Linked DNA regions of Arabidopsis thaliana. The protein of the gene in region 2 interacts with the protein of the main gene of each other region in a pairwise test. Each region holds a gene or a part of one and is shown on either strand. Other genes may lie near its edges.

Region 1 (16,119 bases), on a different chromosome or scaffold from region 2:
TATTTTTAACATCTTCATTCTTTATTAATTTGAAAACGATAATACAAAATGTATCAATGAACATACACATTAAAGCTCCACAAACCATACAACCAATACTTAAGTAGCACGAAATAAACGAGAAAGTGAAAAACACTAGAAAATAGTATCATATGATTGAAAAATACTACTGATATTCAATGAATTTTCAATTTAGTCGAGTTTTTCCGGGTTTTTTAATTTTTGCTTTAATGAATGATAGTACACAAAGTAAAAATTAACTAATCTATAATATATAGATGATTTACATATGATATTGGTTTTGGTCTTAGAGTTTTAATCTAATACTAGATTTTAACCCGCGGTACACCGCAGAACTATTTATTTTATTAAAAGTAACTAAGAATATATTATTTTATAAATTATCTATATGTAACATATTGTTTTGTATTTATAAATATATAATCTAATTTCTATATATTGTACAATCCCTTGATTTTATCATGGAATACACCGTAAGTCGATTTTTAAAATTTAAAATTTAAAATTATATATGATTTTTGTTAAGATTGTTTTTTTTGTCATATATTTTAAATTATATCATTGTATTTTAATTGTTAGTTATAGGATTTCACCCGTTGTATAACGTGTCGTATTACTATAAACTCAAACCCGTCTGACCATCTAATTCCGTTCAATGAAATTAAACATATTTAATGGATTTCATCCTAGGTATACTGTCTCATATTACTATCAACTCAAACTCGTCCTACCATCTAACCCCGTTCAATAAAATTAAATATTATTTTATTATTTTTGTTTTAATAATACTTTAATTTTAAATATATATAATTCAAATCAATTTCAAACTTTTTATTTTAAATGGTTATTTAATTGTTATAATTTATAAAGTTCATATATTTTAATATTCTAAACCTGTCATACCATCTAATCCCGTTCGGTGAAATTAAACATTATTTTTTTTGTTTTGTTTAAATAATATTTTTATTAAAAGATTTATAATTCAAATAAATTTAAAATGTGTCTTTCAAATAGTTATTTGATTTTTATAAATTTCACATTTAAAATATTTCTCTATATGTAACATATAGTTTTATATTTTATAAATATTATAAACGTTTTATAAACTTTAAATAATTACAATATTTACCTTTTAATAAAGTATAATATTAATAATCATTTAAATAATCATGTGTAGCTAATTTTAAGGAATTTGATTTAAAGTTAGTTGTTTGGATTAAATTTGAATGAATAATGTGATTGATATATTAAATCAAAAATTAAAAATCAAATCAAATAATTAAGGAAAAAAAAAATAATGCCAATGGCATGCCATTGTAAATAAGTGTCAAGTAGAGGATTTATTTGCTAAAATGGTTGCAAAAATGTATATGTAGATATTCTGAAATTTAAATTTAGTTAGTTTTTTTTCTTTCAACTGAAATATATTATATAAAAATTTACACATTTCAATAGAAAAAAATATCTATGAAAACTAAACAAACAAACATATTAAAATCCCCGAAAACAATAACCCTTAGAAAGAAATAATGTTGAAAAAGACATAAAAATACAAACCAATGAAACCATTAGTTTACTTAATCCCGTTAGATGAGCTTCTCTCTTGGAGTTTTGGAACTATTATATAGAAAAGCAAAATTCAGTTACGAATGCGGTTTATGTATAAAAGAAGTCACAAAATATCATCACTGTAATATTATAGATTGTAAACAGAGAAATACAAATATATAATTGTCCGACCTTATGATATACACTACTAAGTACTAACCTACGCAAATAATACCAATTAATCTTCAGCTTATTCGGAAAATTTCGGCTAATTCATGTTAGATACGGACAACGTCGGATTTAACCCAAATCCTCAATGCAAATGCACAATTTTCTGGTTTGTTTCGTTTTTATTTTCTGGTTAAAAAAATTCAGATTAGGTTTGATTAAATTAAAAATAATAAAATAAAGATTGAGAAATCACTGTGGTCTTGGTTCAGTCTTTTGAGATAGAGATAATTTCTGAGCCGAGCCGAGGAAGAAGAAGAAGAAGAGATGGGTTTTGTCTTAATCTGTACTTGTCCTCCGTCCTCGGGTGTCGTCGTCTCTCAGCTTCACCATCACCAGGTCCGTCTTCCTTCTTCGTCTTCTGATTTTGATTTTCTAATTACACAATCTGTTTAACAATTCTCTTTTGTGGGTCACAATTTTCAGTTCTCCGCCGGAGTCAAAAGCAATGAACTTTGGTTTCGTCCGACTCGTAGAACCCTAATTTCGAAATCATCTTGTTTCAATCTCCCTCAAGAACCCATTCTCTCCGAAGCTCTCAAGGTACAATTATATAGATGATGACAAAATTGATTCTTTTTCCGTAATCTGTACTTGGGATGAGTTGTTCCAGATAGCAATTAAGCAATTGATATCCCAATTTTGTGATGTGATTGTGTGTTGTTTGTTGATCAATCTTGGAGGGTTTTTGTCTGTTTGTTTCACATATGTATCCTTAGATAAGTGTTACATTGTTTGTTTTCATATTGGATGGTAGTATTGATGCATCAAATGCTCTCTGTTTCAATGTGGTTTGTTTGTATAGGAGCCAATTGCATTCTTGGGTGGGATGTTTGCTGGACTTCTAAGACTTGATCTAAACGAAGAGCCGCTCAAGGATTGGGTGACGCGAACAGTTGAAGCCTCGGGTATTACAGAAGAAGAAGTTGATGCAGATGGGGTTGTTTCCAATGATGAAGACTCTCCTCAACAGATAGAGATTGAATGAGGTGTCTTGGTTCTGCAGTATTTACCATCTGCAAGGACCTTTTGTATGTAACCCCTGTGTTCTTTATGTAGAAAGAAACAGACTCTCTTATGTATAACTTTTACATTACAGAGGTATGTCATGTCCTTGAGTATGACATTCTTTGCTGGTAGTTGAATCAAGATAGTGATGATCTAAACAGTGCTAGAGTGTTGGAGATCAGTCGAATCAAATCAAGCTAACAAGATGGCTTTTGCATTGAGGCGTAAAATCTGACAAATTATACAACACAAAGATTTTACATTCACTCTGTATCATCCATAGTCTAGTCTCTAAATTTGAGATAGGTATTTGTGTGGCTATAGTGTAGGTCTTACTACTTATTTTTGTTGGTTGAATCTTCAATGAGATTACAATCATTTTTGTGGATAATCAGAGATACTTGTACTGATTACTGAATCCAGGTAAGTCTCTGCATTACGCAAATTTGGAAGAGACCAAATGTACAACTAAAGACAATATCAAAAGATCTTTTTCATAAGAGATATTTCTTAGCTTACTGTTGAATTTTGTCCATGACGATGAAATGATAATAACCACAGATTATTTCAACCAATTCAACCCAACCACGTCATAAGACATTAAGACTCATAACCAAACGACCGCGTTTTGATACCTCTGATCAATCTGGCTCACTAGCAAGCTATGCCAGACCAAACCGGTACGACTTCTGTGAATTCGATTCGTGACTTATGGCCTCGCGTTTGCTATCGACGACGACACTCGTCACACCGCCGGCTTATTTCAACAAATCGCCGGCGTTTTTAACGGCCAGAGTTGGGGTGAGAAGAGGAAGGGCTAACGTTAAGGCTGTGAGCAATAGTTCGCAAGGAGCCGTCGATGGAACCGTTTACAAAGGTGTTTACGGTCCTTGGACCATTGACCAAGCCGATGTCAAAGAGGTCTCTTCTCTTCTCTCCTTACGATTCCTGCCCAATTCACACTTGGGTTCCTCAAAGTTGAATCCTTTTGATAGTTTTAGGCCAATTTGTTCATATTCTCATAGTCATGTAGTTTAGAGGTAGCTCAAGTTGTTGATGAGTACCTTTTTCTCTTCAGGTTATTTTGTACAGATCAGGACTAGTAACTGCTGCTGCATCTTTTGTAGCTGCTTCTTCTGCTGCCTTTTTACCAGGAGACTCTTGGTTAAGTGAAACAATCAAGCAAAACCATGATCTGTTTTACTTTGTTGGTGCTAGTGGTTTGGGGCTATCTCTGTTTCTAATACATATATATGTTACGGAGATTAAGAGGACTCTTCAAGCTTTATGGGCACTTGGTTTTGTTGGTTCTTTCGCTACTTACGCAGCCCTTGCTAGACCAGCTGGTGATAACTTGGTTCATTATGTCGTTGATCATCCATCCGCTGTTTGGTTTGTTGGTCCCCTATTCGCATCTCTCACAGGACTCGTTTTCAAAGAAGGTAAATATCTTGCTTCTGCATAAGGCTTCATATCTTTAACCGTGCCAATGTTCTTGATATGTAATTTCTGTCTGCAGGTCTTTGTTATGGAAAGCTAGAAGCTGGCCTTCTTACATTCATCATACCTTCAGTTCTTCTTGGGCATTTGGTAAAGTACCTTGTTTGATTAAGATATCCTGCTTTAGCTGCCTAGACTCCTGAGATCAAATCTGCTGCGTCGTTTCTCTAAAGAGAAAGCTTCAAATTTCCTTAACTTGGGGGATCTTGGTATTTGTTAAATTGGCCTGACTTAAATTGGTAAATTGAATTTGCAGAGTGGTCTGATGAATGATGAGGTAAAACTGGTGTTGCTAGGAACATGGATGGCTCTCTTTCTAGTATTTGCTGGAAGAAAGTTTACTCAGCCTATTAAGGTACATTGTTCCTCTCTGAAGATAAGCCATGTACAAGCTTTCATAGAGGTCTTTGCTATTTATGAAAGTACCAAAATGTCATAATACTAATCATCTATAATCTTGTTTGGTTTTTGAAGGATGATATCGGAGATAAATCTGTTTTCACGTTCATGTCCCTTTCTGATGATGAAAAGAAGGCTATAGTTGAAAAGCTCGAGCAAGAAAAGTTGGGGTAAGAATCTGAATGATAGTGGAATGTTTTAAGCATCTTCAAGAACAGGTAAATATTTTGTATCCATAGATTCTATTTACCACTGAGGAGAAATGCTACCATAAACACAGTTTGTAGATTGTGATTAGTAGCTTAGAAGTGACAATACAAATGCCATCAAAATGTCCATTCCCTGATTGAGAGTTGGTTGCATCTCATATTTTCTTTTTTGACATTCAAAAAAAAAAAAAAAAAAAAAAAATGGGGCAACCTGGTTCAGTCGGACCCGGATTTGGACCCGGTTTAAAGTCATCCCCTTGTAGTTTTATTTATTTTTGATATTTTGCCCCTCAGTGTGTTTTGATGGGCCAACCTGGCCCGGCTCAATTTGATGCACTGATTAGGCCGGTCCTTATTTAGGCTTGAGTTTTAGGATTTAGTATGGTCTTGTTTGTCTATGGCCCCCATCTTACCTGGAAAGTGCAATGAAAAAAGCGGGATTAGACTTAATCGGGGTCCAATTGTGACAAAATGAAAATGGTCCAGCTCGGGCCGTCCTATCCAGAACCGAGCCTGGCTGTCCGCAAAATTTCAACCCAAAATCCCTAGTTGTGAGTTGTATTTCACCGAGGAAACATGTCCGACCGTGTTACTGTGGTATTAAGATGTCTAAAGTTATGATCCATAAGAACTACAAGGGTAGAAAATTAGAAATCTTGTTACTCCTACAATTATGAACTCAACCAGTCACTTCCGAGTATAACGTACAGATTTTCCGGTCCTCTGGCCTGTTATTAGCCATATTGAAGGAAAGTGACCATGGTTAAAACGAATATCAGTTAAGACGCATGATCCTACAATTAAATGGATATAGGTCTCTTTTCCATGGTAGTCCATGCTATTCATGTGTGTCAAAATAGATTTAGCGTGTTTTTAGGCCAACAATGATTGTGATGTATGCGGGTTTCCGGAATGGAGATAGGAAAATGCTAAGTAAGAGTTGTTAAGTTTGCAAACAACGAGCGTGAAATTAGGAATAAGGTTCTGTCATTGAACGTGAATCGGGACAAGCAATTGAAAGACAGGACACACGAGTGGGGTGTTAAATGCGGTGTTCAGAGTACGACTAATATGGTCGACTCTTAATACTAATATTATGGTCTCACACACACTCTCTCTCTCTCTCTCTCTCTCTCTCTCTCTTCAGTCTTGTTGCTTTCTGTCTCAATCTTCTAGGAGTTTTGTCATTTATTAACATGGCTACAAATTATTCAAAAATACCTAGATTAATATGCATAAGTTGGACGGTCCAATGTAGATACTAGATACATGGCTAAGTTTGACCAAAATGTGACAACTATGAACAATCAATAATTGCTAAGGTTTTTGAGTCTCTACTTCACAAGTTATTGTATATAAGATAAATCTTTCATATAATCTCTACCAAATCTTGCTTGTTTCTTTAGAATTGGAAATAGAGACAAGAAGTTGGATAAGAGAGAAAATGGGGGAGAGAGAGAGATTTATGAAATGAATCCGACCAAAACTGAGAAGGGAAAGAGCAAGTGTTAAAGGAGAGTCCCTACCTCCAATATGAGGACGAGCTCCAAATTGCGTGCGTAGGAAAAAGGAGGAGTCGTGTCTAATGCTGCATCTCTACTCGTGTGTGTTTTGTTTTGTGGGTCTCTCTTCTCTCTCTATCTTTTGTCTCTTCTTTTCATTTCTTGAGTCTCTCCCTAACCTTCTAATTATTAGCTTCTCTTTGTTCCCTCTTGCACTCGTGGCCTTATTCTAGCCTCTCCCTTTACATAACACGGCTCACACACGCTCACATTTCCTTTTCTTTTTTCTACTTTTAAAACGATAGATCAATTTATTAATCTTGAGTTTAACCATTTCTTTGTTTAGCTTGCATGTCGACTTTGTTGCCTTTTTAGTTAATCATTCCACTTTTAGTTGCATCTTTCACGTCTGCTTTGTTTATGATTTGATATTATAATTAGACTTAAGAAAAACTTTAAAACTCTCTTTAGTTTTCTTCTTCTTAGCTTAGTGTGTATTCTCGGCCGCATGTCTATTTAGTTTGTACAAATTTAGTAGTTTTGGATTTGACTCTTGTAGTAATGCAACTACAAACACATTTTACTGCGCATTTGCCGTTTATCAATTCAGGATTTAAATCCAGAGTCATGATACTCTATTTCTTTTTTTTTGGTTTAAATGATACTCTCTTTCTAATATCAACAAACCAAACTTTCAACCATTAGTCTATTAAGGATGCTTTAACTCGAAAAATTAACATGCAGTAAAGTTTTAATGACTCCCAGCTACATTCATAAATTTATTCTCAATCCATGATTCGTTGATTATTAAAACTTTTACAGTTACAAATGTACTTTATTTTGCATGTGAGTATAACAACGTCATATTTAACATCTTCTTTGACTAGTTTTATATGATTTATAGTAGCTAAAAAAAGCTTGATTGAGTTATTATATTACACATGAGTATTGGACTAGTGGTGAGTATTAGACCCCTCCAAAAGAACGCGTAGTCGAGCCTATCCGAAAATTTGATCGAATTCAATTATTTAGTTATAACGAGAACTTACCCCAAAATTTGATCAAATTCGATTATTTAGTTATAACGAGAACAGTTATGAGTTTCGATCTAGAATTCCTTTGATTAACCACCTTGATTAACTATGATAGTGAAATAGTTGTGTTCATCATCTAAACCTTGGGTTTGTTGTGCGACTTATACCTAATTTGTCTATAAAAACTAGCCTTCTATGATGTTTGTTTAACGTAGTTTTTTTTCTACAGAAAAGGACGGGTTACGACTTACGAATGCGGAAATAAAATGTTTATAAACTATTTTTGGAATAGACCACTGTAGATTCACAACGTCTAAGTGTGGTTAGGACTACAAGGCTACAAGCTGATAAAGTCTCAGACACTAACTTTCATGGGGTCTCGCTCTCTAATCAAAACTATTGTGGATAGATTCTTATCGAAGAAAAATGCATTATTCGAATCTGTCATTAAGTTGACAATACGTGTATATATTTCCAGACTTACATGCAATGAACAGTTTTATTTATTTATTTTATATACACTGAAACAGCAGGATTAGATGGGGTTGCAATGGTTTTGTGTTGGTAGCGAGACGAAAACGACAGCGTTTTTGTTCTGGAGAGCGATACGGAAAGTAACATGACAGGACAGTTGAGAGGAAACTCATCGTTTTCTCTTAAGTGAACAGTTAAGTTTGTTCCCTTTTTTCTTTTGCTTTAATATTTGGGGTCATAGATCTGTCTCTTTTACCCCATTTACTCTTTATAGCAACACATCCATCATATCCAACTCTTGTCGGTTACTTACTTCCACATTAACCATGCTTTGCTTTTATTTTACCATGCTTTCAATTCATTTCTTACGATGAATCTAGCTACGAGGGGTGGGTGGGCATATTAGCCACATTACCGTTTTGATTCGATCAAACTTTTGAATATCCGAAACTATGAGTGTGGATTACAAGTTGTTATACAAACAAAAACGCTATCGCTATTCGCTAGATCTAACTTTGGACGAGTGAGCTCTTTCACGCTTCCCTGGTTTTCTTGCCTGAGCCCTGGGTTTAGATTGTCGTGAGACATTTCGGTTCCTATCTACCGTTGGTGTTAAAGGGAGAACTGCGAGGAGCAACGTAATCAACTCCATTGGTTATTTTCCCCGGGAGAACACCTATAGCCCCAATAGAAAAATTGAATTCGGTAGCCAATCTGGTTCAAAATATATTTAACAGTATTGTTATTTAGATCAAAACCTATGTCATCTGTTTTTTTTGTTCATGATAGTTTCAAGAAAAATTTCTACAAATTTAATGTTTTTATAAAAATCAAATCATGGTAATATATCGATTTGTTTTAAAATATATTCATCCAATATCTTAACATAGGTTGTATATTGAAATTTTACGGCTATATATGTATGTCGACAGCCACATTCAAACAGACATTAAATGTAGTAATAGATATACGTTGGTAGTCCTACCAAATACTCATATAGTTAGTATATTTAATTTTAATTATGTCATTAAAACCACAATTTGAAAAGGTAGATTATGATGTGAAAATGAATAGCTGATATAAAGAATTTTGGTTTTTATTTTATATAATAATGATTTCATAAGACCACACATCGTTTATTGTTGTTCGAATATTCTTAAAATTTTATATTCTGCAGTTTACATTACAATACTATTCAGGCACATGGTTTTCTACTAATAATGAGTTAAACCTACTTTGAGCTGAAAACAAATCCAAGACTTGTTAAATGTCAACACTTGGAAGAAATTTGCTCCGAAAATCTTTATAGTTTCCATATTAAACAATGGTTTTGCATATATTAGTGAACTTATATTAAATTCATAACAAAACTTTTTGTGTGGTTTTAATCAACTTCAACACTTATTACATGTACAACTAGTACAAGTAACGATCATTTATATAAATTATTTTCAGGATTTTAGAAGAGAAAAAAGAAAGAAAAGTGAAAACTGTTGACGAGAGATAGAGTTGAGATTTATGCAAGAAAAAAAATAGAAATGATGTAAGAAAGAAATGTGGATCTCAATGATGTTGCTGTGTGTTGGCTGGCATATTAAACCATCACCATCTTCATGTGCATCTATACGTCACTCTTCACCTCTCTATCCAATTATTTCAATCTCCTCATTTTATTTTCATCTTTATCTTATACTAACGTAGATATATTGCAAAAGAGAACTTCGAAAGTTTCTCTTTTATAATATTTTTTCGGTCTTAAAATCTCTGTTTTTATTTTTCAGTTATGTTCGATTTATGTATACAATATGAATATATTACCATTCCTATGAAGAAAAAAAGAGATGAGCTAGATTTTATGTAAAGGGTTTGGTACGATTTTTTTTAATCTTTTCGAAAAAGAGAGGGAGACAAAGAATAATAAAGAAAGAGACACAAAAGTATACATTCACAAAATGAGAGGACTTTGCTGAAAGTTTGTTACAAAAGAGACAAAAGCTTAACAATTAAAAAAAGAAACACCAATTAGCAACTTAACAAATGAAGATCTTATACTTATAAAATCAAGACTTTAATCATACATTAAAGAAAAAGAAGTAAAGTCTAAGAATCTAAACCAAGTGGTTCCCATTGAGGAACTCTCTTACTGAAGAACCTCCCAATAACTCTGGAATCAAGAATCTCAAGAGCTCCTCCAGATTTAACACATCTTGGAGTCTTATACTGATTCAAAGATGATCCTTGTGAGACACAAAAATCCATTAACGAATCAAACGTGCCCAAACTCACCACTCTTATCTCCAATGGCCCAATCGACTTGTCCCTGTTCCTGCATCTCCTGTAGACGTAATCCAAACAATCCTCAACCTCAGAGCAACAATCCTCCATTGTCTTGTCGTCAAGCTTTGGTGGGTCATTGCTGTGACGTGGCTTTAGCTCCCAGAAGAGCACGTAATGCCCTGGGATTGATGACGTGTCTGCGTAGCTTGTGTACTCCGTGAGCAAGAGGCTTGAAGGATGTTGAAGATGGTTTAGTTTAGCTTGTGTCACTGCGTTTAGTAGATCTTCTTCGCTCGTTTTGTCAGTGTCGATGCTTAGTACAACGTTTCTTCGCTGCACGAAACGGAATTGAGGCGCTTTGTTGTGGAAACCCGTCACTTTTAGAATATCGCCTACTCTGTATCTGTACAAACCTATTGACAAAAACATATGTAACAGGTCACTTGTGCTACAAGTTACTATCCGTTTTAGGAATCCACATCAGACCTAGATTGTGTTCGTATAGAGAGTCACTGACCTGTGAATGTAGTGATGACGATTTCGTAGTATTGACCGACTTCGACATTAACAAGATTGACGATGAGATCTTCCTTGAGAGCATCATCATCATCATCGGTGTTGGAGTGAGTTGCAAAGTGAATCTCTTCGTGGGATTTGTCGTCGACGGGCAAGAACTCGAAGTAAGCCATGTTAGGAAGAAGCGTGTAGGAAACATCGGCAGGATCACACAACGGATTAAGGTTGATACCAAAGTAACACTCAGAGGAAGCATACATCGTTGAAACCAACGGTAAACCTCCGCTATAAAACTCTAGTGTCGGAATGTATTGAGCCATCGAACCAGTCACAATCACCTCAACATATTTAGCCTTAGGCCATATCCTCCTCAAGATTCCTTCCCACGACTTTTCAGCGCACTCACTCTCAATTTCATCAGCCAATTCTTGATTTGGGCCATTAAGGATCGACAAGACCGAGTCTCTGCAGGATGAGTCAGTGATCCAGCTAGTGACAGTACCGGTTCTAATGTCAGCGCAAAGCTCTTTGTAATGATCCTCCAAGAACTTGACTGCTCGAAGAAAGGCAGAGGCAAAGACAGCTCCGACTCTTAGGACATGAGATCGCTGTACTAGACCGCAGAGAAGCTGACAGTACATGCTCTGCTTGCTGTCTTGACAAAGAATGGTCTGGTCAGGGCTAGTGTAGACGTTGTACTTGTTGAATGGTCTGTTTCTGAAATGTTGACTTTTGTAGTAGCTGGTCAAAACAGGACGGGCCATTAGACCTGACGGAGTCTTGATCTCTGGTTTTATGAATAGAAGATACATCCCTTTTCCCTCATCTAGCCCATCCACATATCTGCAATTTCAAATATGTAAACACAATCCAATCTATCAAAAAAAAATTCCTTCACTGTTTTAATCTTTTGACTAAAGAAAACAGATATAATTGATTTATTTTTGCCCTCTCATGAGTGTAACTAGGATCCTACATATTCAATCTGCAAGGTGTTTTGTAGCAAAGAGAAGCCAAATATATTTCCTAAATGTTTTAAGCCCAATAAGAGAGCTGGTTACGTATATTGTTTCTGTTGGATGCTACAAAAATTATTATATACTATTGTGTTTTTTATTTTCTTAAGAAATATTTCTGTATTTCTCTTTTTTTTTTTATTTTGGAATGAGAATGAATTTAAGAGATATTAATGCACAAAACAAAAAAATTAATTACGTAAATTAAGATTGAAGTAATAAAAACTCATTTATTACTTGTTCATGATAGGCACAAGCATGCTGTAGAAAAATGTCTTCCTTTCCAATTCTTCAGCTGTAGAAGGCATCAACTTCGGCTTTCCTGCAGAAGTCCCCGAACTGCATCCAATATTAACTCAAAGAAATTACTAATAAGTATAACGAAAATTCTTAAGAGAACAGTATATAACGATAGTTTTTGTAGAATTTGGTGAAAAAATATGTTTACCTAGTGAGGAGTTCTGTGATGGGCTGAGCAGAGACGATATCAGATGATTCTCCATCAGCGATTCGTTGAATGAAAGGCTTTACGTCGTCATAATTCACCACAGGGACTTTGTTTTTGAAGCTTTGTTGATTCTTGTCGGCTTCTCCGTCCAGAAATGCTCGGAGATATTGAGTTCCAGAGTTTTGAGAGAGTATTTGGTGAAGAACTTGTTGTTGGATAGCCTCTGCATTTGTTGTCAGATCCTCGAGAAGCTTGAGACCAGCCTCTGTATCATTTGGGTCGTAACTTGGTATCATTGTCTGAAAGCAGACACAAACAAAGCTTTAAGTTTGTGTTGCAATGATGAGGTACCTTCAACAGAAATAGAGAAAGAAGAGTTTTATTTTATTTTTGTTGTTTAGAGAATCACTTCTTCTCTGTTCTTGAAGGTTGGTTTTTGGTGGTATGAGGAGAAGGATGAGAAATGGTTATATAATAAATTGGCAAATGATGAAATAATTATTAGAAAATATATATTTGGGAGGTCCTACAACACACATGGCCTTGTCTAGTTAGAAAGAAGCTATTGTTGGTCAATATTACCTGTGCAGGCTTTCCCTATAATTTTATATGTTATTTTTTGTTTAATATCATATTTGTTTATATGCTGTTTAATCCTCCAATCAAGCTCTTTCTTTATGATCCGTTGAATAATATCAATCCAATCATATTCACAAGATTTGCATATGTCTGCCAAAAGATATACTCACTTGGTCTTCACTATACTCATCTAATATTGCCTCTTAGCTAGATTTTATTTAGGAACTCGTTGAAACCTTTATGAACTCACATGCAAATTTTTCAAATAAAGTTTATACTAAAAAGAAGTATATGATAGCTTAAGTTAACAAATTCTTTATATATGTGGCTATGGAATTTTCTTTAAGAACTTTTTATATATCCCTTAAATTCATTTGCATATTGTTCTTAAAACCTGTATATTTGCATTGCTGTGAAATACTAAACAACTCTTAGTTATTCAAATTCCATTGACATATATGTTAGTTTAAATCTGCCTATTTATATTAACCTCATTTACATGCGATAATTGGGCTCCATATAGTAATTAAATAATCTCAAGTTTGACTTATGGCAATCAAGATTAAGAGAGAGAAGGATTGTTAAGATTGTTAAATCTCTTGGATATTATAAAGTCATCATCTTGGTGATGCAGATCCAAATGCATATGATAGGGTCGTTACGTTGATATACATATAATATAAATAGACCAATTGACTAACTAACCATAAATGATGATAATTACAACATAAAATAACATGCATCAGCTTAATTCCATCAAGAAAACTTTAAAAGACATGGAACAGTTGAATTAGGTTAATGTATATGTCTTGTGTGACGAGGAAACAGATGTGAACAGAGAGAAAAGAGGCCTGAGAGGGTTTGGAGAAGATGATCTTTTTCTCGTGAACAAATTTCATTCAAATACGCTATGTCATACACTTTAGGCATGTTTCGTCAATTCCTTTGCTTTAGGCTTTTTATATTGCTTAGTTTATTTTGGTTTAGTCATTTAATGATAAAACTAAAATAAATCTTTTCCTTGACAATTAAGTTGATTTAATTAAACATCTCGATTTAGTTATTTTATTCCACGTATTTGTTTATAATTCATGATTATACCATTCTACTAAATAATTAATAATCAATTTAAAATAACATATATATGAAAATAATAGTGATAATTTATCCCAAAAAAATGATGGTGAGAATCTCGTTTCAGATTTATTAAACAAGGGGCTGAAACATCTACCAGATTTTAAACTAGAGTTTTAATTTTCTTTTTGAAACGTAACAACCCAAATCATGTAAATCTTTTTTTTTCTGAAGGGATGTTATATATTCCTTTTGGTCCCTGAAAAAGCATACATAGATTCTCAACCTTACGATAAATCATATATGTCTTATGTTTCACACGTTAATGGTCTTAATCCCATTGATTGTCTTCATTAAATAATATAAAAACATAAAATTTATAGTTTATATATATTTCATATTTTCAAGAAAAGTATTCTGAACTATAGAGTGATAATACTAGTTGAGTATAATTGGATTTTTTAAGCTGCGCAGTTGATAATCCTTGTAAGAATTGTTTTGGAAATAAATTTGAAATATTAAAACTATTTCACTCACACACATGCGAGAGAGAGACTAGTAAAAGTTGGCATATTTCCTTTCACAAATACATAGACCGGTCCACAATGTTTGGGAGAGATACAGGACATGCGCAATCTATAAGACCGACCCATCAACTTTAAAAGACATGCACTCTTTTTGAATATTTTCTAACCTTACTATTTCTGTTTTAAAAGTAATGAATTCTTGAAATGTTGTTTTGTGATAATATTTTCCTGATACGTAACGCCCATATTTTCTTCTATTATGTTATTTTAGGCAAACCATCCGAAATCCTAGTTAGATAAAAAGAACTTTCGCAAAACCTTTGAATGATGTATCATCTGATGTGTTTCATCCTGGTTCGTGGAACAATAAGCCCACATATATTTTGATTGGTCATTCCCGTAAAAGAATTTATTAACAGGATTTTTTTTTAATATATTTTTATATTTTTGTTAAAAGGCTTAAATACTTTTATATTGTTCATCATCTAATTCTTCACTCAAAATATATGTCAACGGGATTCTAAGCATATCCATTGGAAACTACAGTCATGGACTTATGCTAGAAGTTAAAGGATCAAAAGTTGGTTGTAGCATAAGTCATATATATACACCCATAAAAGTATGTTAACAGTTCGAAAGTCAACAATAAACTTAAGCCTAAAACGCTAAGGTTAATATAAGATTCGGGTTTCAAATACAGTATAATTGAAAGGGTTAGTGATAATAATTGGCATACAGTGGTTAAGAACCATATACGTACTGTGAATTTGACGTTTAAATTCGAGACTATATGGTTGACCCAAACAAATCTAGAGACTATGTAGAATATGTTGTAGTTGCTGTTTGAGAGTTTTAAGAGATTGCAACACATGCGGACATGCCACTAGGATACCAAAGTCCTGGATCATGTAACAGCTTAAGTTTTCTATCTAATGTAAACTAATGCATGTTGTTTATATTAAATGTGTTATGTAGTTCATATATTGAAAAATAAGAGAGAATAATAGTGTATACTGTATAGACATGGCAAAGGAAAAAAAAATCAGTAGTGTAATAAGACAAACAAAAAATAGGTCAAAGTTACGAGCTTTGCATTTATTGCTCTTTTGGTGGACTACTTCAAACCAATACGCACAACACAATTACTACTTCTCATGGACTGAGATAACATTTTTAAATTCATATTAAATCGCGCATGACGTGAATTAATTACTACTCCTGAATCACGACAAAACCATAAGAGAAAATAAATTAAAAAGAAAATTTCAGATAAATGGCAATAAGAGAAACAGAAAAAATACAATAAAAATTAGGAATATGATATGAGATTATAATCTAGTAATATGAGTATTGATTTCGATTTACTCAAGTTAAAAAATATTATTCGGTCTATTAACGTAGGGTTACATAAGATTAAAATTTAGAGATTAATTACCGAAACAAGACTTACATGTGAGTCTCACATTTCAAGAGTAGTTAGTTTACCCACAAGTCTCCAAAAATCAAGTGTATAGCTTATATGTTGGATGGTTATAGCTAAATCTGATTTCTAGTGTTCTACTAATTAGGATTTGTGATGTAACATGTGACTTCTGTTGACAAGAAAAATAAGTTAATGATCACAGACTTCATAGTGTTCGAAATATTTGGCAAAGCTAATGACTTGTCAAATTTAAATTACGTATCTTACACACTCAGCTCTTATAAATGATTCAACGTACGTTTGATGTACAAGTGAGACTTTAAATAAATTTGCCAG
Region 2 (17,535 bases):
GAATTAGATACGAACAAAGAGCGTCTCCGACTTGGAACCGGACGGACTCAGCCCAATGGTTGAGAGAGTGGTTGGGAGATTCTGGAACCTTCCATGCGTCTAATGATCCTCCCACATTAATGATTCTAGCCTCACCAAAGTGGTAGAATGTTGTAAATAAAAGAAACACTACGGACACAATGCTAATCAAAGACACCATTTTTTTCTCTACTCAAACAAAACTTGCAACCACTTGCCTAGAATTCTTTTTCTCTTTAGACGTGAAAAAGTTTGGCCGTTATGGTTTGGAGCTTAAATGGGTTTTATATAAGGTTTAATAAAGAGGTTGGGAGGATCCGAACCAGATTTGGGGTCAAATTTGGTCTTGTAGAAATGTAATGTAATCTTCCCAATTAGCCAAGTAATTGTCAGTTTCATTATCAGTTGGATTATATTCTTCTTTTTATTAAAAAAAAAATATACTCTTTTTCTTAATTCGAAAGCAAATGAAGATTATATGGTTGATCTATATATCATATCTTTGTAGTAAATTCTTGTATTTTGGAACTAAATCAGGTTTTCAATACAAAATAATTTTTGACATGTAGAACAATTAAACTTGAAGTGTACTCAGTAAATCTAATACAATAAATTAAGGTTCTCCTCAAAGCTCATTTCACCAAAATCTGACATTTGCCACCTAGACAATTGACACGTGTCTTCTTTTCCCTACCTCTCATCTTTTTTTTTCCTTCCTTACCTTTCTAAGAAACTAAATTTTAATATTAAAAACTAAGATATACCATGATCATTTTAAATTAGATAAAATTATTTAATTATTTATCTAATATAGAAAACCATTTTCCAATACTTTTTCTAAGATTTATTTCTATCAGTTGAAGTAAGATATAAACACCAAATTACTAAAATATTTTTTTCCAAAAACAACTCAGTGATTTATTTCTAATTTATACAGTTTTCCTTGTTACTACTAATAGCAAAAAAAAAATTCTTTTGTCAACTAATAGCAATTAATAGTATACAAAGTTTGGACTTCATGTAAGAATCTTACCTAAGGATATGAAAATCTTGATTTCGAATAGTGAAACTGGATCATAGTGTACAACACAATTAAACCGGGTGGATCCAATAAAATAATTTCGGTTCATACGGGATAAGCAAATAATTTTTAATCATATATATTCACACAATACAAAACTAAAGACACTAGATCCAAATACTATTTTAGTAAATATTAGTGAGGATGTCCCAATAGCAACAAATTATTAAAATGATAATTGCGAAAGAAAACCACTATTGTTATTTTAATATTTCACATTATTTAAAATTATCAGTTCAATGGCCATTAAGTTCTTGTGTTTCTTAATCTACATTTATCACTGTTTTCATTGAAAGATATATATAGTTTTCCTTGATGCTAACTAATGGAGTCTATAATTGTAATAATGATACGACACATTATTCATATCTTTGGTACATTAGAAATTACAAAAATCTAAACTGGTCAAAACACTAAGAAAAAGGTAGAGAGGTCATCATTAAGTAATGAATATGACTCAACGAAACACACATTACATGATAGCCTCCAAAACCCCATCCATCCATCCCTATGTCTCTCCCACACATGACACAAAATATATATACATATACATATATTTGTATAAAAATGAGTGGTCGTAACAAGTCATTCTTCATTCTATTGGTCTAACAAAGCCCATTGACGAAAAAGAGAGACAATATTGAAAGAGAGAGAAAACGAGAAATGGCAAGAACCCACTTACTCTTTCTTCTATTTGTGCTCTTATCATTAGCAACATCATCAACATCAACAAAAGAGCAAGAGGAGGACAGGATCAAAGCACTACCAGGGCAACCAAAAGTAGGATTCTCACAATTTTCGGGTTACGTGACAGTGAACGAGTCACATGGCCGATCACTCTTCTACTGGCTCACCGAGTCATCTTCTCATTCTCCTCACACCAAACCACTTCTTCTTTGGCTCAATGGAGGTTGGATTTTTTTTCTCCCCACTTTCCCTCGTATATTTATATTTATACCAAAATATGTTTCGAACACTGAGTCCATATCCAAATGTATCATAGTATTCAAACTCGATCTGGTATAGAATGACAAAAATACTATTTTTGGCAAATCAAAAACAATTTTATTCTGATAATTCTTTAACCAACTAAACCAAAAAAAAAAAACAAAAAAAAAAACAAAGAGTACCAAGTGGTTCTTAGCTTAGTGAAAGTCCGGAAGCTATCGGTCAAAAAGAACCTTGTGTCCTTAATTCGATAATATTTTGGAAAGATTTTCGGCACCTATGAACTCCGGCCACAACTCATCAATTTGCCAAAAACAATGAAAATAAAAATTACTTTCTCTATAATTGATAGTTATAGAGTAATTAAATAAAACATAAGAGACGTAACTATCAAAACAAAGACACCAGAGAAGTTTGTGATACCAAATATATAGAATTTAAAACAATATAAGAAATCATTAGAATGTGTCACTAAGAAATATTACATTCTTAGTATAGCTTATGTTTTTGCAATACGTAAAAATGAAAATAATTCTTATCAACACAAACATATTCCTAAATCCTCGTTAAAAAACATATGTACCCTAGTGATTTGTGTTAGTGTAATTGTTATGTCATCACTTCAATTCAAATCGGCGATGTACTGAAATAAAATCGTCATCAAATAAAAAATGGAAGACGTCAAATCTCATTAACATGTTACATGATTATTCTTAAATAGACTAACTAAAAGTAAAATATCAAAAATACCTATATCAACACTTTATGTTTTATCATTATTTAAAGCAAATCAATGTCCACCAAAACAGCATCAACAATCCAATATGACTCTAATAAGTGAAACATGCAATTGTTGTTATAAAAACAAACAAAAAGAAACATGCACTTTTTTTTTTAGTTTTTATGTTGTTTTATATATGAAAAATTCCAATCTTGCGTGCATTTGAGCAAATGTCCACTTCCTCACTAAAATAATCCGTACGGAATAATAATTGGAATATGCTCTTCGGCTACAAAACCTCATCATTCAAAGAATGTGCATGACAAGTTGACAACGACATGAAAACATGGATATACTATCTTTTTCGTATATACTAAAATTTAAACGGACAGAAAACTAAAGCAAATGTAGCCAACCTTTATATTACTTGCTAAACCAATAGTAATAAAGAAAAAACAAGAACAATTAAATTGGACAATAGTTTATTTGACTAATAAAATGAAGTTATTAGTCAAATCATAGGCTATGATCATTAAAAAGAATAATTGGTGATCCAAAGCGGTTGCTTAGCCTGTTTGTCCTTTAGGATAGGCCTGGAAACATGCCTATATACTCTTGAGATTAGTTGGAAATTTTGGCAAAGCTAGAATAAGTTAAGATTGGGGTAAAGAAAAACTAAATTAAGGAAGAACATAAATAGTTTCTTCTAATCATTGAAATAATAATAAAAAGAATTATTAACTAAACAAAAGCCGGCATGATGTATGAAAACTTAAAAGTAGAGTCATTTGATCAAAGATCCTTGTTACATATAATCCATTCTCATCTCAGGACCACAAAACAAAGAAAGCAAAGGCATGATTGGCCAAACATCTATATAAGTATATCTCTAACCCTCTGATCACTTTCAGACATCAACTTTTCAATTATTTTTCTTTCTCTTCTTGACATTTGATAAGAATGCATGACAGAAACATACATATATGGCCGTCTTTTGATAAACCAATTACATCAGTCGAGTACATATCAAAATGAGACAGAAAATTGAAAACATACAATTGCTTCTTTATCCAAAATAATGTTACATGTATATAATAAAAATATTTGACCTTTTAAGTTATATTGTATTTATTAATGATAAAAGAAAATTTATAAGGGATTCTATATGAAAAACAAATAACAATTTTTGTGTATATATGATCATACATGTAATTAAACTATGCAGGACCAGGCTGCTCGTCGATTGCTTATGGAGCTTCGGAGGAAATTGGACCATTTCGGATCAGCAAAACCGGTTGCAATCTTTATCTCAACAACTTTTCTTGGAACACAGGTACTCACTAAGTTAATTTTCGACATGCTTCAAGTTAGTTCTTTATTTGTGGAGTCACTATGTTTCACAACTCCAACTATCAAAATTAGTTGTATGGAAAACTGTTTCTATATACTTAATACTTTGTAATTAAGTTATATAACATTTTTGAATGTGTAATAACAGAGGCAAACCTTTTATTTCTTGAATCGCCTGTTGGTGTTGGATTTTCATATACTAACACAAGCTCGGATTTTGAAGAATCCGGAGACGAACGTACAGGTCAGATTTTTTTCATCTAAATATATATATATAAAAAGAAATATTCTATCTCTCAAGATTCTACATAAAAAATATGAAAAGATCAACTCTAATATAGAAATTCAATTATTCTTCGCATATAGTAACAACCTCTAGTACCATCCAAATGGATATTACCGATGAACCAGAAGATTTATTATTATCTTAAGAAATATGTTTAGACCCCACATCAATAATCTGATGGCACCAAACTCATAATTCCTTAGTGTCAATTTGTTAACCTCATGGCCTATGTTAGCAATCGATTTTCTATGGATTTGACTACTAAAATTTCACATGAAGATTATAATTCTCAATATGAGTCTTGACATTAACCAGCATTGCAAATATACATAAGACTATAAAATTTAATAATTACAATTCAGTTCTTTTTTGTTTTTGTTCTTTTTAAGAGAAACTAATTAATTAATAGTGTAATTGTGTATGCAGCTCAGGAAAATTTGATATTTCTTATAAGTTGGATGTCAAGATTTCCTCAGTACCGGTATAGAGATTTCTACATTGTTGGTGAAAGCTACGCCGGTATGTCACCATGCATATATGATATATAACAATAAAATACATACTCTTAGAGCAAATTAGATTTTATATGGTTTAATGGTTTTTAGTTAATCTTGTTTAACAAAAAACAAACCAAGATTCATGTCTTTCTTACCTGATTTAACCAAAACTGTCAATATGTATATATTAACGTCTACTTTTACAGGTCATTATGTTCCTCAGCTCGCCCAAAAAATTCATGAGTACAACAACGCCTACAAAAATCCAGTAATCAATCTTAAAGGTTTCATGGTAAGAACTAAGTAAGGTCTATTTATCACATTTCCAAAACTATTACTCCATATTCATATATGTCCCTAATATCTCCTTGAAGGTTGGTAACCCAGAGATGGACAAAAACAACGACAGACTAGGGACGATAACGTATTGGTGGTCTCACGCGATGATCTCGGACGCTTCCTACAATCGCATCCTCAAAAACTGTGATTTTACAGCGGATAGATTCTCCAAAGAATGCGATTCCGCCATTTATGTCGCTGCTGCCGACTTTGGCGACATCGATCAGTACAGCATCTACACACCCAAGTGTGTACCACCACAAGACCAAACGAACCAGACCAAGTTTGAGCAGATGATGCAAATGCACACAACTAAAAGGTTTTTAGAAGATCAGTATGACCCTTGTACCGAAAACTATGCCGAGATATATTATAACCGTCCTGAGGTACAACGAGCTATGCATGCTAACCACACTGCCATTCCATATAAGTGGACTGCTTGCAGGTATTCCCACTGCTCATCTACATTGAAACTCTTGAACCACTGTTATTCATCACATGTTCATAACTTTATTCTAACGTATACTACAAGAAACTCTTGAACCAAATTGTAACCAAACTAACGACTCTAGGTCAAACTTCAGTTATAAAATTATTAAAAACCAGGCAATTTTTTTTGTTCTCTCTGTTTGTTACAGTGACTCTGTCTTTAATAACTGGAATTGGAGAGATTCCGACAATTCAATGTTACCGATATATAAGGAACTCATTGCTGCTGGTCTAAGAATCTGGGTCTACAGGTACACTATGTTTCAGTATATTAACCTAGACACCTAGTTATAAAAGATCATGATAGCAACACATATTTTGGTCATTAAATCACATTTCTCCATGCAGTGGTGATACAGATTCGGTAATTCCAGTGACAGCGACTCGATATTCCCTTGGCAAACTGAATCTTCGAGTGAAAACTCGCTGGTACCCTTGGTACTCCGGAAACCAGGTAGGAGGACGAACAGAAGTATACGAGGGGCTTACCTTTGTGACGGTAAGAGGGGCGGGGCACGAGGTGCCATTCTTCCAACCGCAAAGTGCGCTTATTCTTTTAAGATCATTCTTGGCTGGAAATGAGCTTTCAAGATCTTATTAGTGAATAGTGACCCAACATTTGTAGCTCCACTGGTGTACTAAGGCACCTTCAAAACGAAGTGTTCCTCAAGGTACGAATCTGAATGATGTTGGGGAGGTGATTAATGTTGGCAACTGACTGAAAAATTTATTGGCCAATGGGCTGAATCCTCTTTTTTTAAGAAACAAAATTCAAAACCCTTACAAAAAGGAGAAAACAGAGTCCTTGATTTCTTTAGGGTTCTTTAGGACTTCTTTAGGCCAATATTTTTTTTTTTCATAATCTTTCATTTCAATCAGCAAATCCCTAAATGTGGTCTATGATGGCTTCTGACAATTAATTTTACTGTCAAAGCTACAATTGGTCTACCCGAAGCATCTAATGGTAGCTTTGACCGTAAAATTAAGAGAGAACATACGACTAACAAAGTTTTAAAAGTTATCATGCGATCAATTGTCAAAAGAGAGGGTCCACATTGTGTAAAAGAAACCGATATCTTTCTTACATGCATATATATAAAAGTAAATTTATTAGTGGTACCAACACATCCTCCTCCATTCCAACCCATTGAAGAAAAAGCAGAGACTATAGTGAAAGACAGAGAAATGGCAAGAATCCACTTAATCATTATACTACTAGTGATTTCATCGACATCATCATCATCATCATCATTAAGAGAGCAAGAGGAGGACATGATCAAGGCACTTCCAGGGCAACCGCAAGTAGGATTCTCACAGTTTTCGGGTTATGTGACTGTGAACGAGTCACATGGTCGATCACTTTTCTACTGGCTTACAGAGTCCCCTTCTTCTTCTCACACCAAACCACTTCTTCTTTGGCTCAATGGAGGTTAGATTACATTCTTTAATTCTTTTGTCTCCCCACTTCCGCTCATATATGTGCACACATGCATTTCTCTTTTATATCTTCATAATAACTCCAAATTAAACTATCTGAAAAAACGCCAAAAATAAATAAATAATAATAATCTCAATTTAATATAATTTGCAGAAAATATCGATAGATTTTTGCAACAAAATTTGTAAAACGTTAAGGAAATGTAAACGTAAACAATTGCAATAAAACAAGTCGCTGTTCTATGCTCGGTCCTAGTAATAGCATAAAACGGTAATGGTTATTCATTGGTCAGAGAGCGAGTAATTATTTTTGTCCTGCTTTAACTTATTAATTAACCAATCCCCAATTGGTTACAATATGGTACACCCTTTACCAATGATAAGGGAATATCAATAATCTTAACGATTAGACTCGAAAAAAAAAAGAGAAAAAAAACAAACATTATTTTTGTATATACCTACATAAAATATTAATCAAAAGAAAAAGAAAAGAAAGTGAAATCCACTAACATTACTTTTTTGAATCTATTAAGTTTTTAAACCAACAAAACCTACCCTGAGTTTCATATTATGTAATCGTAAAAATTTCAATCATTAATATAAATGTGGATGAAACAAATCGGTGTCCACCAAAAGAACATCAACAACCCAATATGATTCTCATAAATGAAACATGCAACCTCCTTTATAATCATCATTTTACTTCTTTTTTTCTTGTTATAATTTTTATTTATATAAATGTTTATTCGAAAGATTAAACATTATATAATCTCCTTGAGTTTTGGAGTTCGTACTCTTGCCAGTTGCCACCTACTTCCAGTCTTCCACAATTCATTTTCCAGCGTGCACTTTAGCAGCAGTGCCCATTTCTCACTAATATATGCCTAGTTAAAGCTAAAGGAAGAACTGGAATGTGAATGTGAATGATAAATAAAATAGCAAAAAAATAATGTTCTAATGACACTAGATTTTAATAAAATTACGTCTTCAATAATACGAAAACATAAAATCGCAGGACCGGGTTGCTCATCGATTGGTTATGGAGCTTCGGAGGAAATTGGACCGTTTCGGATCAATAAAACCGGTTCTAATCTCTATCTCAACAAGTTTACGTGGAACACAGGTTAATATTTTTTCTTTATAGTTTCATTTGTTCTGGAGTCACATCGTTCGTTATACAACAATGAAGTTTGTTTGAATCTTTTATTTGTAATGAATAGAAGCGAATATTTTGTTTCTTGAATCGCCGGCTGGAGTTGGATTTTCGTACACTAACACAAGCTCTGATCTTAAAGATTCTGGGGACGAACGGACTGGTCAGTTTCTTATATTTTATCAAACATTATTTGTTATCAAGGTAATAGTTTAGGATACACTTTTGTTAACAATGAAATTACATTATTAATTTTAATATGTTGACATATAATTGAATCTGCAGCTCAGGAAAATTTGATATTTCTAATTAAATGGATGTCGAGATTTCCTCAGTACCAATATAGAGATTTCTACATTGTTGGTGAAAGCTACGCTGGTATGTCACTCTTGAAGCAAGTCAGAATTAATATGGTTTTTATTTAAGTCATTTTCTAGACCATAGACTTATTTTCATGTCTATATCTTTTATAGGTCATTATGTTCCTCAGCTTGCCAAAAAGATCCATCTCTACAACAAAGCTTTCAACAATACACCCATCATTAACCTCAAAGGATTCATGGTAAAACTACGGTTCTATTTATCACATTTCCGAAACCTTAATCCCTCCTTAATGCATATATATTCTTTTGCACAGGTGGGAAATGGAGATATGGACAAGCATTACGACAGATTAGGAGCCGCCATGTATGCGTGGTCACACGCAATGATCTCTGACAAAACTTACAAGTCTATCCTCAAACACTGCAGCTTCACTGCGGATAAAACCTCGGACAAGTGCAATTGGGCACTCTACTTCGCCTACAGAGAGTTTGGCAAAGTCAATGGGTACAGCATCTACTCACCCTCATGTGTACATCAAACCAACCAGACCAAGTTCCTGCATGGACGGCTTTTGGTAGAGGAATACGAGTACGACCCTTGTACCGAAAGCTACGCTGAGATATATTACAACCGTCCTGATGTGCAACGAGCTATGCACGCTAATCTTACCTCCATTCCTTATAAGTGGACATTGTGCAATATGGTTGTGAATAACAACTGGAAAGATTCCGAGTTTTCAATGTTGCCGATATACAAGGAACTCACTGCCGCTGGTTTGAGGATCTGGGTCTTTAGGTAAACCATGAAACTAGCTGCAAGTAAAGTACCTTTCGTGTCCTTTAACCACATTTTGTTGATGTAGTGGCGATACAGACGCAGTGGTTCCAGTGACTGGGACTCGACTTGCCCTCAGTAAACTCAATCTTCCGGTGAAAACTCCCTGGTACCCTTGGTACTCCGAAAAGCAGGTAATTTTCATCAAATTCGTGGTTCTATTCTTATTATGCAGAGCTAGTGATTTCTCATGGTGGTGGTGTCAGGTGGGAGGATGGACAGAGGTATATGAGGGGCTTACCTTTGCGACGATAAGAGGGGCGGGCCACGAAGTGCCGGTGTTGCAACCCGAGCGTGCTCTCACTCTTTTAAGATCGTTCTTGGCCGGCAAAGAGCTTCCAAGATCTTATTAGTCACACACATAAGATAGAAGGCTCCCTCCAAAACCCGAGTTAACTCGGTGTTTTCTTTTGAAATTTTTATGTTTCAAATCAACTTGATTTCATAAGACACTAAAAGCATTCTTGTATTCGAAGAAGATATATGTTGATACTAGAACAATTGTGTTGATACCTTGGGAATAAAATTGCAGAAAACCAAAAGTTTCAAATCTTTTATATATAATTCCATAAGAGTAGAGTACAAAGCTCTTTGCTTCTGCCTGACTGATATACAAACAAACAAAAAAAGCCGAACCTCTCATACCTGAAAGTTGAAATGAAACAACAAAAACAGCTTCTTACTTCATTCCTTCGCTGAGACCCGGTGGCATTCCTAAGCTCTGCGCAAGGTCACTCATTCTCTCTTTCATAGCCTGTGAAAAAATTCACAAAGTTCAATTAGAAGAAATGGATAGAAACAAATACTTTAGTTGCATTGTGATAAATGGTCTGCAAATTGCTATACCACCACACTCTTGGCGTGTGCGTCCTTGTATGCTTCTGTGACAAGTTGTGATAGTTTCTGCCAAAGGAAAACACACAACATCAACAAGAGAAACTGATGAATTAGCTTTGACTGTTCCATAACAAGGTACGTATGGTTACTCACTTCGGAACCTAGTTCCATTGCTGCCTCGGTAATATCAGTACGGATTGGTTGCTGGTTACCTGATAACGTAACCTGACACAAATTCATAAGGTTTAGGTCATCAGACTTTGTAACAGAAACAATAAAGACTAAACAAAGTTTTGAGATTCTAGAGTGGAGTTCTTGCCAAATCATCCAAAGACTAACAAATCAGAAAACACAGTTCTTACATCATCAAGTAAACGTTAGTTAATACTTCACTGATCTATTATGTGCATTGATCTATCTTAAGGCCAAAACAAGCTCTAAACTGACCTTGACAAGCTCGCCTGCACAATAACCATCAAATTCTGCGCTGCGAAATTGGAACAAAACCAACATGCAAAACTCATTACTCATAGAAGAAAACTTCCTCAAATTTTGTATGATAAATGTGCCGGACTTACGCAGCTAACTCTTTTTGAACACGTACAGCTTCCACTTGAACAACCATTTGAGCTTTCTTCACAGTCTCATACATATTCTGCATATTACCAAATATTCCTGCCTAGGAAAGATCACACACAAACTTCATTAGTTCCAAAATCATAAACTTTGAATCTTTACAACATGAAGCCTAACTTAAAATGTTCACCTATTGCAGAATCTGTTTGATATTTGAAAAAACCAATGTAATGTACCAACCTTTGATTGTCCATCTTCACTGTTATTATCTTTGTTTCCACCTCCAAATAATCCATTCACTCGAAGAGACCTGTAACCATTTTTAGACTTGTACTGCTTTGGCCATGTTCTTCTCTGCGAATTCAAGCTCGCATTTCCTGAAACTATTCAAACCAAAAAATTACTAAAGCCCATTTCAATCCCAAAAACACTTATAAATACAAAATTACGCTTCAATTCCTCCAATTATGGAATAGAAAAGTCTAATTACGAAAGATTAAGCAAATTCAGATGAAACCTAATGTACGACAGATACATAAAGACTCAAAATCCAGTGTCACGAAACCTTAAGCGAGAGATAGAAGTAGGGATTTAGGAGAGACTAACCATGAGAGAATGGAAAGAGCATAGATTTGGTGAAATTGGTGGTTGCAGCCATCGACGCCATTGTTGTACGAGTAGAGAGATATTAGAGAAGGGCTTTTTTTCTGAAATTCGAGAAGATAAAACCGGAAGCTAATTTTTTCCGGGCAACTTGTTCGTAGCTTCTGTGTTTGTTGAAGCTTTTAACCAATGATTTTGCGCCACGTCACTTTAACTCTTTTTTTGAGCTTAGATTGTTTTTGTACCATTCTTTTCTAGTGAAGAAGTCGCAACTTTAAAGTTTATACACTTTCAGTACGAAATTGAGTGATCAAACGTAAAATGTTCTTACATCAGATATTGATTCGATTTTCGAAAAATTCAATTTCTAGTATAGATGAAACTTTATCAGAGATTGTAACATGCTTCATTAAACCAAAAAAAAAAAAAAACATGCTACAATAGAACCATCTTTCGTGGTTCTATGTATGGGACATGGTCATATGTGTTGTGGTCTTGTGGAGCTGTATTGCGAGAAGAACTATTGATTGATTGTGGAGTTGTCTATATACCCTCTATGTATAGAGAGACTCACCCCAAACATTTGAAATACCTCTAGGCAAACCATTTTGGGCCTCTCCTGAAAGAAGACATTTATCATCGTATCATGTCCAAACAAACATACTCTGCTTGTACAGTTGTAAGTTTGTAAAACATATGATAAAAGCATAAGACAACACACACTCCAAAATGCAATCATGATCTATACACTTATTCTGGTCTCTCTAATGGCATTGGTTATTATTCTCATGATTCTCAATCTCACAACAAAAAAAACATCATGCAAATCTCCTACTGTCACATTGCATAAGAAAAAATAAAAATAAATTCATGAATTCAATCTCTGATTCCTCATGGTATATTGTCATGACCTAACAAAGGTTTTTTTGGTAAAAAAAGTTGATATAAAATAATCTAACAAAGTTACAAAGAATCTTCTATGACTTCTCCAAGCAATGAACCTTACCTTGTGTATCATCCATTGCTAGAGATACTGATTCTTTCTGTCCTGGATCAGCATTCAGAGATCTCACTGGGACTGTAATGAGTTTATTCTGCTGTTTCTCAAGCAAAGCCATGTGTTTTTTCCCAAGCGTATGATTCCTCATCGTCTGCTCAGAATTCGTCTGAATATTACAAGTTTTGCACCAAACCGTTTCCTTCTTTTTCTTCTCACCTTTTGTCTTCTTTCCCGTTGTTTCTTTCGCCGCAATTTCATCTACTTTTTGACCCTGCGGATTAGCATTTTCACATACTCTAATGGCTTCTGGTTGCGGTGCTGTAACGGAAGCAGGGGATAAGGAGGTTGAAGCAGCTTCAGGTGTCTCATTCTGTTGTGTAACAGCAGCCTTATGCTTTTTACCTAACTCATGATCCCTCATGACTATTTGACAATAGGTCCCAACTTTACAAATCTCACACCAAAACTTCTGGTTAGTTCTTAGCTTACCTTCTGCTTTCTTTCCACTGCCAAGTTTCCCTGAACAAGGAACCTTCGAAGAGACTATTTCTCCGGTTTCCAAAGACATCGCCTTTGCTTCTGATTCTTTTGCTTTCGGCCTTTTCACTTGAAGATCTTCGTTCAAACCAGTTTGAATATCCTCTGCTTTACGCTTTTCTCCTACAGGATCAGCTCTAGCCTGCAATAGTAATCAAAGAGAACACATATGGTCAGGATTTGTTATAAGCAAGTAAGGAAAGTACGTGGATAGAAAAGATGAGATATCACACTCGTAGTAAAACACTTACCAATACAATAAACTGCTCTTTGTTAGACTCCAAAACTGATGTTCCTGTAGCCTCAGGCATTTGCTGAAGTTTAGGCAATTGCATGGTACCAACACTGTCTGCTTTAGGCTTAGCTCCTATAATATCAGCTCTATTCTGCAATAGAGAAATCAAAGAGAACACATATGAAACAAAGGCTTATATATACTCTATCATTTATGTTTACCATTACTTAAAGAACTCACCAATACAATCAAATTCTCTTTATTAGACTCCAACATTGATGTTCCGGTAGCTTCAGACATTTGCTGAAGTTGAGGCAATTGCATCATTGGTGATGTAAGTAGACTGTTGTAAGAGCCTGTGTTGATCAGAGAATCAATGTAACTATACTTCTGTCTGAAAAAGTTGTTGAACTGATTCTGATTTTGATTTGGAAGCTTCCTTTGATTGATCCACATAGTTAGCTTTTCCTCTAGAGACATCTCCGTGTCTGAAACTCGTCGTATCGCCATTTCTCTCTCGATAGCCATCTCTTGTAAAACCTCAGCTATAAGCTCTCGTTTTCTCGCTGCTTCTGCGATAATGATCTCTTGACGGATTTGTTCTTTCTCAATTTCTCGTTTGATCGCTTCCCGAACTTGATCCTCACTTTGTTGTCCTACGAAAAAGGTTCATAATCACTTCACATTTCGACATGAGAAGATTCATAAACTTCAGATTTTTCACACAGATTTCAATTTCGTGAAATCAAAACATGAAAAAACAAACACTCAAAATTTACGTTACAGAAACTAAACAGGTCTCAACAAATCAACTCCTATAGACAATCGCATCACCAAACAAAATACGAAAAGTGCAGAATCATAACAATGTTCTCTGTCGGGGATGGATAAAAAATACGATGCACAGACAGTACAAACCTGGCATTGATCGTTCCGACAAGAAAGGAAAGTTCGGTTTCAGCGACGGAGATGGTGTCGTGTCCGTCGCAGGAGGTGGGCGATTATTATCGATGGCTCTGTATCTGAATTCCATCGAATTCAAAATTTGGAGAGAGAGCGGAGAAAGAGGGTTATCGTTTGTAATCGCTTTTACCTTCTGGTCGGTCACTTTTCTTAAATAACAGGGATAGCTTTTTTTTTTCTGTTTTTTCCCTTTTTTCTTTCACTGTTGTGAATCTTGTGATAATATCAAGAGATTTTTTAAAAACAATATGGAATTTAATCATATGCAATACTTAGCAAATTTGGTTACTAATTTATTAGAGATTTGACCTGTGATAAGATTTAAATATATTTCTATTTTCCTTAAAAACTTGTTTTATTGAAAATTTTAAATTACATTATGTGATCAATCTTTGACGGATTTTTCTATATAAAATTACAAATTTATTAGGGATTTGATTTGTGTAGTGGCGTTTCAAACAAAAATTTAAAATAAATGTATTTTAGATTAAAAAAATTATGTTAAAGGGAGTTTTAATATTTTAAGAGATTACAATTATTACATTATATGCGTGTTCAATTTTTGGCGGATTTCTCTATGTAAAGTTACTAATTTACTAGGGATTTGGTTTATGTGGAACCAAAAACAAGTTTTAAATTTTAGTCAATGTATTGTAGATGGTAATTATGCTAATATTTTTTTTAATCTTTCAAGGGCTTTAATCAAATTCAAAAACTTTGTTCAATCTTTATCTTTTTGTAACTTTGTAGAGGTTTGACCCGCATTATTCAAATTCAAACAGATTCTTAAAACAAAATCTTACAAAAATTCTATACTTTGAAACATTCAACCAAATTTTAAAATCGTGTTCAACTTTCGATTTGTCTATATAAGATTACTAACTTACTAGGGATTTGACTTGTGAAGTGAGAATTTCAAACGATTTTTAAAATTTAGGTTAATGTATTTTAGGTGGTTGAACAATTATCTTTAATTTATGGAGATGATTTTCTGCCTACCAATATATCACCGATTAAAATTCTCACATATGATTACTATTAAGCTAAGCGGCAAAATCATTGGCGTCCCGAAAAAAGTAGTATTCTCTCTGTTTCATAAGTTTGGTATTGTAGGTTTTTTACACAAATTAAAAAAGGTATTTTTTATACTTTTTGATTATTATTTTGTCTTGTTTAATAATATTAATTCTATTTCTCTGTTTTCTCTATTAATCACAGCTAAAAGTAATAATAATGTTATACAAACCATCAATTTTTTGTGAAAAAAAACCTACAACATCAAACTTCATGCAACAGAAGAAATATATAATAAGTTCTAGCGATTAGTTCAAGCCGCTTAACTCGCATCATAACAATGACATATTTTCATTTTAAACTCAGTTAATAATGATTGGAGTGTCCTATATTCTTTAAAAAGTGTAGTATGTCTTTTCATATTCGAACAACTAGGGTGTTATTCGTTTTATTATTTGAATGGTGCATCTCGATTATGCATCCAAATATTGTAATCTAGAGGATGCTTCCGGCTGTTGTTTGTTTATATATTTGGTTCTTCATATGGATTCCCTATCTTGATGTAACTTTGTTTGTTTTTCTTTTGTATTTGTTAATTTACATTCACATCGATGTATTTAATATCAAAATGACTAAATTGTGCATGTGTTAAATTTAATGATATCTTAATAATCTTAACTGTATTTACAACTAAAAAAATTTCAAATTTTTCTTGGCACAATTATAATCCAAGATAATGCAATGTAGCTCATCTAGTAATATCATTTATCAGCTGGAATGAGATTAAATAATGAAAGAGTATGGTAAGTGAAGCCATACCAAAGCTCCCGTGAGTCAACCAATAAACAGACGTCATACGTCAATACCCAAAAAGATATCAACAACGAACCGTAGGATATAATAAATCCCGCAAAATAAACGGTTAAAGATCTCGCGGTACACTCTGTATCTTAATTATTAAGATTCACGTCGCTGGACACAACACCTACTATATTTGTGGTTGTTTGTTTCGTGAAGCTTCTCTCTTCTTCTCTTTTTCAAGTCATCAAATCTGATCTAATCTCCGTAAATTAATGGCGAGTAGTTGCGAGCTTTGCTGCGAGATCTTCATCGCAATTCTTCTTCCTCCTGTCGGAGTTTGTCTCAGGCATGGCTGTTGCACTGTAAGTTTCATCTCTCTCTATCGATCTCTGAACTTTCACAGCTTCTTATTTCAGAAATCGAAACCGTAGTTGAAATTGAATTGATTACGGTTATTTAAATTGAAATTGGTTGCACTCCGGTTTACGGGAACCAATCAATATGATGAATGTGGAGATCAATTACTGAAAATATAATTGTGGTGTTTTTGTTAAAAAGAAACACTAATTAAGGGACTAAAAAATAAAATTTTTAAATTTTGTTTTTCCTAACTCATGTTTTTTTGGTTTAACTTGTAGGTTGAGTTCTTCATTTGTTTGATACTGACTTGCTTAGGCTACTTACCAGGAATAATATACGCAATTTACGCAATTTGTTTCTTGCACCGCGATGAGTATTTTGATGAATACAGACGCCCAATCTACTATGTTGCTTGACCTCTTGATTGATTCTTGCTCTTGAGCACACATATTGTACTTTAAAGTGTAATTTACTTGTATCCTGGAGATAATAATACCATTTTTTTTTAAGACACAGGTATTGTGGTTTATTTTACTATATACTTTGATGAATGATGAATGCATAATGCCCAATTACTATTTGCCTATGGAGCCCTCATATTAAAGGTCAGTATCTATCGCGCTATGATACAGCTAAAGAAATTAGCTCAGCAGTCACTGAAGTGGAAGAGGAAAAAGAAAACACTGTTTTTTCTCTGAACAGTGAAGAAGACAAAGACACTTGGTGAAGAAACAGAGACTGACAGTGATTCTGAATTCAAGATGACTAAGACGACAATACCAAAAACAGGAAGAAAAGTTTAAAACCATTGTTAGCTATTGCATCACTTGAAGACTTCACACTTCTTTTCTCTTCTTTCCTGTTTTGCTTTGCTAAGTTGTTTCCAGGAAAGAAGAAAGAAGAAGTTGTGGAGTCTTTTGATGAAGATAGTGACAGTGATTACTATATTTACCCTAGTCCATTCGATATTGAAGAGAATTCCAACAGTGAGGAATACAATCAAATCTTCATTGTTATATGTTACCCTAGTCCTAATACATACTATATTTATATAATGGTAGTACCATACTTACCATTACCCTGAGTGAGTTTCAACGATGATTGAAATTGAATTAAGGCATCCCACAATTAA

What was found.
Region 1: the proteins of AT2G24020 (region 2) and AT1G28135 interact in a two-hybrid assay, tested with the Arabidopsis thaliana proteins (one large-scale study listed by BioGRID).

The regions. Positions count from the first base shown.
Region 1 is NC_003070.9:9,821,788-9,837,906, reverse strand, and holds AT1G28135 (uncharacterized protein), read right to left. Parts: upstream 8,647-16,119; 5' UTR 8,576-8,646; coding exon 8,420-8,575; 3' UTR 8,323-8,419; downstream 1-8,322. Other genes in the region: AT1G28150 (uncharacterized protein), read left to right, coding at 2,065-2,136, 2,224-2,340, 2,603-2,785; AT1G28140 (integral membrane family protein), read left to right, coding at 3,517-3,726, 3,884-4,247, 4,325-4,395, 4,562-4,660, 4,780-4,878; GH3.17 (Auxin-responsive GH3 family protein), read right to left, coding at 10,024-10,613, 10,718-11,559, 11,970-12,071, 12,181-12,476.
Region 2 is NC_003071.7:10,207,713-10,225,247, forward strand, and holds AT2G24020 (Putative BCR, YbaB family COG0718), read right to left. Parts: upstream 11,757-17,535; 5' UTR 11,558-11,756; coding exon 11,497-11,557; intron 11,274-11,496; coding exon 11,131-11,273; intron 10,994-11,130; coding exon 10,893-10,993; intron 10,802-10,892; coding exon 10,762-10,801; intron 10,540-10,761; coding exon 10,468-10,539; intron 10,381-10,467; coding exon 10,324-10,380; intron 10,232-10,323; coding exon 10,157-10,231; 3' UTR 9,989-10,156; downstream 1-9,988. Other genes in the region: ENODL11 (early nodulin-like protein 11), read right to left, coding at 12-199; scpl22 (serine carboxypeptidase-like 22), read left to right, coding at 1,763-2,009, 3,994-4,101, 4,267-4,362, 4,831-4,923, 5,108-5,193, 5,276-5,685, 5,879-5,980, 6,078-6,330; scpl23 (serine carboxypeptidase-like 23), read left to right, coding at 6,915-7,158, 7,700-7,744, 8,182-8,289, 8,387-8,482, 8,605-8,697, 8,793-8,881, 8,957-9,438, 9,506-9,611 and 1 more; AT2G24030 (zinc ion binding / nucleic acid binding protein), read right to left, coding at 12,471-13,172, 13,282-13,416, 13,506-13,921, 14,184-14,298; AT2G24040 (Low temperature and salt responsive protein family), read left to right, coding at 16,316-16,405, 16,682-16,819. UniProt on the Arabidopsis thaliana protein: Participates with ALB4 in thylakoid protein targeting. May function with specific subset of thylakoidal proteins. Binds to DNA and alters its conformation. May be involved in regulation of gene expression, nucleoid organization and DNA protection.